Linked DNA regions of Macaca mulatta. Each later gene encodes a partner of the first gene's protein in a complex. Links are inferred from orthologs where the notes say so. Each region holds a gene or a part of one and is shown in the gene's direction. Other genes may lie near its edges.

What was found.
Region 2: the proteins of ATP6V1A (region 1) and ATP6V1D are in contact, whole or in part, in a cryo-EM structure (PDB 9B8P), measured with the Rattus norvegicus proteins. The link is inferred for Macaca mulatta from reciprocal best matches to the Homo sapiens genes ATP6V1A and ATP6V1D. Residues at the interface, in NP_001101788.1 of Rattus norvegicus: Ala366, Met368, Pro369, Ala370, Asp371, Ser372, Asp416, Ser418, Asp436, Lys438, Glu491, Gln494, Leu495, Val496; in NP_955418.1 of Rattus norvegicus: Lys4, Asp5, Arg6, Arg167, Ala171, Val175, Ile176, Arg179, Tyr186, Glu190, Arg194, Glu197, Tyr200, Arg201, Lys204, Ile205, Lys208.

Annotation. Positions count from the first base shown.
Region 1 is NC_133407.1:169,945,699-169,949,353, reverse strand, and holds part of ATP6V1A (V-type proton ATPase catalytic subunit A), read left to right. Parts: intron 1-1,610; coding exon 1,611-1,739; intron 1,740-3,655. UniProt on the Homo sapiens protein: Catalytic subunit of the V1 complex of vacuolar(H+)-ATPase (V-ATPase), a multisubunit enzyme composed of a peripheral complex (V1) that hydrolyzes ATP and a membrane integral complex (V0) that translocates protons.
Region 2 is NC_133412.1:140,512,268-140,515,922, reverse strand, and holds part of ATP6V1D (V-type proton ATPase subunit D), read left to right. Parts: intron 1-801; coding exon 802-869; intron 870-2,558; coding exon 2,559-2,603; intron 2,604-3,655. UniProt on the Homo sapiens protein: Subunit of the V1 complex of vacuolar(H+)-ATPase (V-ATPase), a multisubunit enzyme composed of a peripheral complex (V1) that hydrolyzes ATP and a membrane integral complex (V0) that translocates protons.

The DNA of each region.
Region 1 (3,655 bases):
CCCTCTACAAAATGTGATTCACAGTCACAGTTTCTCTAAGTAAAGCCTGCTTAGTGATGTATTATCCTTCAAACCTCATGCTATATAGTCTTTTTCTTGTTCCAGTTACAGTAGTGGTGATGACAGTTTTTTGATGTTTATGCAAATGAAAACTGTCAGTCACTGTCCCCTTTTTTCTCCCCCAAGAACTTGGTGTTTGAGCTTGATTTCATTGGCAAGTCATTAAAAGGTTATCAGTATCTTTTGCCATGCAGAGAAATAATTGTCCTCTCAATGATCATAAGGGTCTTTAGGAAGGACAGGCTAAACCCAAGAACTTTTAGAGAAAAAGCAAAAGAACATCAAAGAGTTCAGGAAAAAATACTCTGTGAAACTGTGTAGTAAACTGCTCCTGGAAACAATTTTTAAAAAAAAATTTTTTTAGATTTTACTTTTAAGTTCTGGGATACATGTGCAGAAAGTGTAGGTTTGTTACATAGGTATACATGTGCCATGGTGGCTTGCTGCACCTATCAATCTGTTATATAGGTTTTAAGCCCCACATGCATTAGGTATTTGTCCTAATGCTCTCCCTCCCCTTGCCTCCTGCAATTTTTAATTCTTAAGTACTTAATAAGGCAATGGAACAATGGCATCCTTTTTTGGCTTATGAAATATGATTTTTAAATTTCACTATCTCTGGTATTTCAGTGCATCTTAATTCTTAAGTAATCAGTATAGAGGGAAATATTTACAGAATGAATAAGTCTTCATTGTTTTAACACAGGTTAATTAACTCATAAAACTTTAATAGTTTCCACTGAAGTATTACCTGTTATATAGTTCTAATCAGTTGTATCACAAGGCTAAATATTAAAAATTGGTTTATTCTTACACGTGTCTAAAAATATGGCAACCTTTCCTTTCCTCCCTGCTAGAAAAGTAAGTTTTGCTTACTAGACAACATGGTCCAAAATAGTAAGTTCAGTAAATGGAATTCCATTGATAATTTCTTACCCAGTGGTGGTGACTGATTGTAAATATCCTTATGGCCTATGAAAAAAATTTTGTAGATGTGCGTGTGAGTTTTTCTAGTAGAGCTATTATTAGTTTTTCAAAAGGGTCCATGTCCCAGAATAGTTTTAAGAACCACTGCTGTAAGTTGTTAGAAAGTAAAGATGTTCCTTTAGGTCTGTCTCTCAAAGGAAATGGTAACAGCATAGCAAAGTGATAATTGTGTGGCATTCCACCATACTACTAGCCAAACCATTTATTCCAATTTCTACTTTTAAAAGTTTTTTTATTGTTCCAAAGCCTTCACTCCATATATCATAGCAACTCTCAGAACATACTTGAATCCTACCAGGTAAGTTTGCCGTGCAGAACTTGAAATGTTTGAAAAGTTTTCATGTATATTATGTAAATAAATAATCTTTGGCTTATCTGTTTATATTATACACTAAAAATGTATCTATGTGAAACTACCAGTATGTTCAATAGTAGGTTTTTATTCTTCTTATGAATATATGAGAGAGGCACGATACTGGGTTTATTGGGTGTTTTAATAATTTGTGACTATTCACAGAACACTAGAGTTTTAAGTCATCAAAATAGTCTTTTGTTCTCTTCAGTGGTTACAGCCTGTGACATGGCGGGTGCAGCCATGTATGAGCTGGTGAGAGTGGGCCACAGCGAGTTGGTTGGAGAGATTATTCGATTGGAGGGTGACATGGCTACTATTCAGGTGTATGAAGAAACTTGTATCCTTTTTGGCTCAATTTCCTGCCACTTTCTATATTTCAAAATTTAAGGATTTAGGCCAGGCACAGTGCCTCACACCTGTAATCCCAGCACTTTGGGAGGCCGAGGCAGACAGATCACCTGAGGTCAGGAATTTGAGACCAGCTTGGCCATCATGGTAAAACTCCATCTCTAATAAAAATAAGAAAATTAGCTGGGCGTAGTGGCAGGCGCCTGTAATTCCAGCCACTCGGGAGACTGAGGCAGGGGAATCGCTTGAACCCCGGAGGAGGGAGGTTGCAGTGAGCCAAGATTGCACCGCTGCACTCCAGCCTGGGTGACAGAGTGAGACTCTGTCTCAGAAAAGAAAAAAAAAAGTAAGGATTTAAGCCAAAGGTAGAAGCAGCAAAGCAGCAACAACTAATGTTATTAGAAGCATGAAATGCTGGTGTTGTGAAGAGACCTAAATTATACCGGAGTACGTTAAAGAAAGAGAGAAAGGTACTATGAATTAATATTCTTATTTTAAGAAATTAGTATCTTCTGAACTTTCATTGCTCTTACTGCTTCAGTAATTCATGAACTTCAGGGGGATCAACTGAACTTTTTCTTCAGTGGGACACATACTGTGGAAGAAAGCGTAAACAGAATAACAATATTGATTTGTGAAGTTAAAATTCTCCAATTATGATTTCGGTTTAAAATAGTAAGTCCACAAATAAATTGGTCACCATAATAGCACCGAGTGACGTATTACATTTCAGTTTTATTACTAGGAAAGCTTTACTATTTGGTTATCATAATTTTGGCTTTTAAACATAGTATTTATTTTCAATTTTCTATGAAAAATAAGCATAAAGGGTTAAGCCTAGTGAAGAAGAATCACTTTTTTAGTGCTTCTATATGTGTTTTACTTTGATTCTCAAAATCCCCATTAATTATTTGAGTATTTAATCAAGATTTATTTGGTATGATGTTTTTGGCCATTCTAAAACACATGCATGCAGTTAACTAGTCTCTCTATAGTACTAGGTGCCAATTTAAAACAAAATCATCTAAAAATTTTAAATAAAAACAGAAGTTTTTGTAGCTATGAAATTGTAACTAATCAGAAATATTTTTTCTATTGTTACTTTTATCTTTTGTTTAATCTTTTACATGGCTTGAAGATTAAAATAAATGAAAATGTAAACAGTGACAACCCTCCTTGCCTTTGTTGTCTTGTATCTAGCCATTTATCAAAACACATACACACTTCCATGCACACATGCAACCACATTTATAGCTCCCTTTATTGTATATCCTTCTAGTTTAGTAATTACAGACATGAGCAAATACAAATATTTGTATTTTTCTTTCCTTTTTCTCTCTCTATATGTGTTTGTTTTTTGTTTGTTTGTTTTTTTTGAGATGGAGTCTTGCTCTGTCGCCCAGGCTGGAGTGCAGTGGCACGATCTCAGCTTACTGCAACCTCTGCCTCCCAGGTTTAACCTATTCTCTGCCTCAGCCTCCCGAGTAGCTGGGATTACAGGCGTGTGCCACCACACCCAGCTAATTTTTTGTATTTTTAGTAGAGACGGGGTTTCACCATCTTGGCCAGGCTGGTCTTGAACTCCTGACCTCGTGATCCACCCGCCTCGGCCTCCCAAGATAGCATATTATATGTACTGTTATACACCTTGCTTTTTTTCACTTAAAAGTATATGTATTCTAGAAGATAAATAGATATGTGATAAATATAGTAAAATGCTAAAGGTAGACTCTAACTGGTAGAGATTGGAAGTCCACTGTAAAATTCTTTCAACTTTGTTGTTGTTCAGAAGATTTTCATAATCAAAATTGGAAATGAAAATACATAGTTTAGAGATATTTCTAGAGGAATTCATGATAACTCTGGTTCTTTTTTTTACAGCCATATAATAATTCCATCATATAA
Region 2 (3,655 bases), on another chromosome or scaffold:
ATGCCTATTATCTAGGAGCTTTCACTGCTCTTGGGCCTTAAAAAGGCCCTTTGAAGTGGTAGGCTTTAATTTTTGCCAGTGCTGGCAAGATCACAGCTTGCATTGAATTTTCTAGCAGAGGGTGGAGATCAATAGTGTATAAGTGGTATGTGAGTGTTTTAGGGTGGTTATGGGAAAGACACTTTCTATAATATTTATTTTTGTTTTGTTTTGAGACTGGGTTATGAGACTGGCTAATTTTTGTATTTTTGGGTTTCGCCACATTGCCCAGGCTGGTTTTGAACCCCTCAAACAATCCTCCTGCCTCGGCCTCCCAAAGTGCCGGGATTACAGGCGTGAGCTATCGCACCCTGCCAGGAAGGCACTTTCTGGTAACATTTGAGAAGTCACACAAAGCCAGATGCAAGATGTTTCCAGGGTAAAGGAACTGAACGCCAGCTTAATCAATTCAACGGGAAACCTAGGAAGAAGTTTTCTCCATCTTACACTAGTAGAAGAACTCTTACGGTTACATCCATGTGGCACACCTCTGACTGAAAACATAAGCAATCCACGAACTTTAAAATCATTCTTTGTTGTTTTCTTACTGCTAATGTTTTGAATATTGTTCATTCTCTGCTTTCAGAGGCCCTCCTCTGGCAGTAATGATGTTTCTCCCTTTTTGGAAAGAGGACAGTTATCAAAACATACTTAATTGTGACATCTCACTCTTGGTCTCATTTAACGTAAAACTATCCAATGAGTCCCTAGAGGTTTATTTCTAAACAGTCTGCTAAATAAAGGCTTTCTCTTTTTCTGCAGCACTACAGTTATCCAAAATGTAAATAAAGCCCAAGTGAAGATTCGAGCGAAGAAAGATAATGTAGCAGGTAACATTTCAACCTTTTAGAAACTCTTTGGGGAGAAAAGAGGTGACATTTTAAAATTAACCTGTTTATACAGCAAGATCTTAATGTCCTAGTTTCTTCCTTCTACTTAGAACAAGTTGATTGGCTTTACATGTTAAAATCATTAACAACCAGGTTTCTAATTACTGAAAATAATTTGACTTTTGTATAGAAGTGAACACTTAAGAAGGCAGGGTCCAGCCAGGCACGGTGGCTCATGTCTGTAATCCCAGCACTTTGGGAGGCCGAGGCGGGCGGATCATAAGGTCAAGGAGTTTGAGACCAGCCTGGCCAACATGGTGAAACCCCATCTCTACTAATATAAAAATTAGCCGGGCGTGGTGGCATGCACCTGTAGTCCCAGCTACTTGGGAGGCTGAGGCAGGAGAATCGCTTGAACGCAGGAAGCAGAGGTTGCAGTGAGCTGAGATTGCACCACTGCACTCCATCCTGGGCGACAGAGTGAGACTTCATCTAAAAATAAAAAATGAAAAATAAGGCAGGTTCCGCTGGATGTGGTGGCTCACACCTGTAATCCCAGCACTTTGGGAGGCTGAGATGGGTGGATCACCTGAGGTCAGGAGTTTGAGACCAGCCTGGCCAAGGTGAAACCCCATCTTTACCAAAAAATACAAAAATTAGGTCAGGCATAGTGACTCACACCTGTAATCCCAGCACTTTGGGAAGCTGAGACAGGTGGATTACTTGAGGTCAGGAGTTCAAGACCAGCCTGGCTAACATGGTGAAACCCCATCTATACCAAAAAATACAAAAATTAGGCTGGGCGTGGTGGCTCACACCTGTAATCCCAGCACTTTGGGAAGCCGAGGTGGGCGGATCACCTGAGGTCAGGAGTTCAAGACCAGCCTGACTAATATGGAGAAATTCCATCTCTACTAAAAATACAAAATTAGCCGGATGTGGTAGCACATGCCTGTAATGCCAGCTACTCGAGAGGCTGGGGCAGGCGAATCACTTGGACCCAGGAGGCAGAGGTTGTGGTGAGCTGAGATTGTGCCATTGCACTCCAGCCCAGGTAACAAGAGCGAAACTCCTCTTAAAAAAAAAAAAAGAAAATTAGCTGGGCGTGGTATGTGCCTGTTGTCCCAACTACTTAGGAGGCTGAGGTGGGAGAATCACTTGACCCCAGGAGGCGATGGTTGCAGTGAGCTGAAGACCACACCACCGCACTGCAGCCTGGGCGACAGAGTGAGACTCTGTCTCAAAAAGAAAAAAAAAAGAAGGCAAGTTCCTAAATTCATTAATTGAAACGAATTACAATTCCAGACTTAAGCTCTTGACTTTTGAGTTCGCTGAAAAAGAAACACAGAAAACAGTGATTAAGAAACAGAACTTAGGCCAGGCGCGGTGGCTCATGCCTGTAATCCCAGCATTTTGGGAGGTTGATCACCTGAGGTCGGGAGTTCGAGACCCATCTTACCAACAAACGGAGAAACCTCGTCTCTACTAAAAATACAAAATTAGCCGGGTGTGGTGGTACATGCCTGTAATACCACCTACTCAGGAGGCTGAGGCAGAATTGCTTGAACCTGGGAGGCAGAGGTTGTGGTGAGGTGAGCTCATGCCATTGCACTCTAGCCTTGGCAAAAACAACAACAACAAAAAGAACTTAAAGGTTTGTGAATCCATATATGCTTCTATGTTTAACAGGTGTTACTTTGCCAGTATTTGAACATTACCATGAAGGAACTGACAGTAAGTGTGAAACTTTTTATATTACTTTGTGTCTCTGAGATTTCCTGTTTCCTCTTTAAATGAACTAAGTTCTGGAAAATGGTGCTAGATGTTGAGAGGTTCCTGAGTTAGAAATCCTTTTACTGATATAGTGAGGACAATAGTTGATCAATTAATCAAAAGGTCTTAAGGCCAGGCACAATGGCTCATGCCTGTAATCCTGGCACTTTGGGAGGCTAAGGCAGGCAAATACCCGTCTCTACAAAAAATACAAAAAATCAGCCGGGTGTGGTAGCATGTGTCTGTAGTTTCAGCTACTTTGGGGGCTGAGGAGGGAGGAGTGCTTGAACTGGGGAGGTAGTTGCAGTGAGTTCTGATCATGCGACTGCACTCCAGCCTGGGCAACAGAGCAAAACCTTGTCTCAAAAAAAAAAAAAAGGTCTTATGCTAGGAAGTCATAAAACACTGTACATACCTTAAAATATTTCAGTATTTTATCAGAAATATATCAATGTAGAATCATTTGCTATTTAAAAAATATAAGGCCTTTTGAGTATGAATTCACTGATTAGACTTCTGTGTTGTCTTTCTGCGTATCCTACACCCACAATGCACTGCTTATAATTCCCATTTTGGGTCTCTTTAAAGTCAAATAAGATCTTAGACACTAGGATGCAACCTGAATGCGGATTCTTTCTAGATTTTTATAGCCCACTCCCACTTTTTAAATAACTGTCTTATTCATTCCATTCCTAATTTGACAGCATATTTTCTTTCTAAAGTAAAGTATTAACTTTTTTGATAGAAACAATATTCTTGGCTAGGCGCAGTGGCTCACACCTGTAATCCCAGCACTTTGGGAGGCTGAGGCAGGCAGATTGCCTTAGCCCAGGAGTTTGAGACCAGCCTGGGCAACATGGTGAAACTCCATCTCTATCCAAAAAGTTACAAAAATTAGCTGGACCTGGTGGCATGCGCCTGTGGTCCCAGCTACTCGGGAGGCTGAGGTGGAGGGATTGCTTGAGCCTGAGAAGTGGAGCTTACAGTGAGCTGAGATTGTGCCACTGCACTCC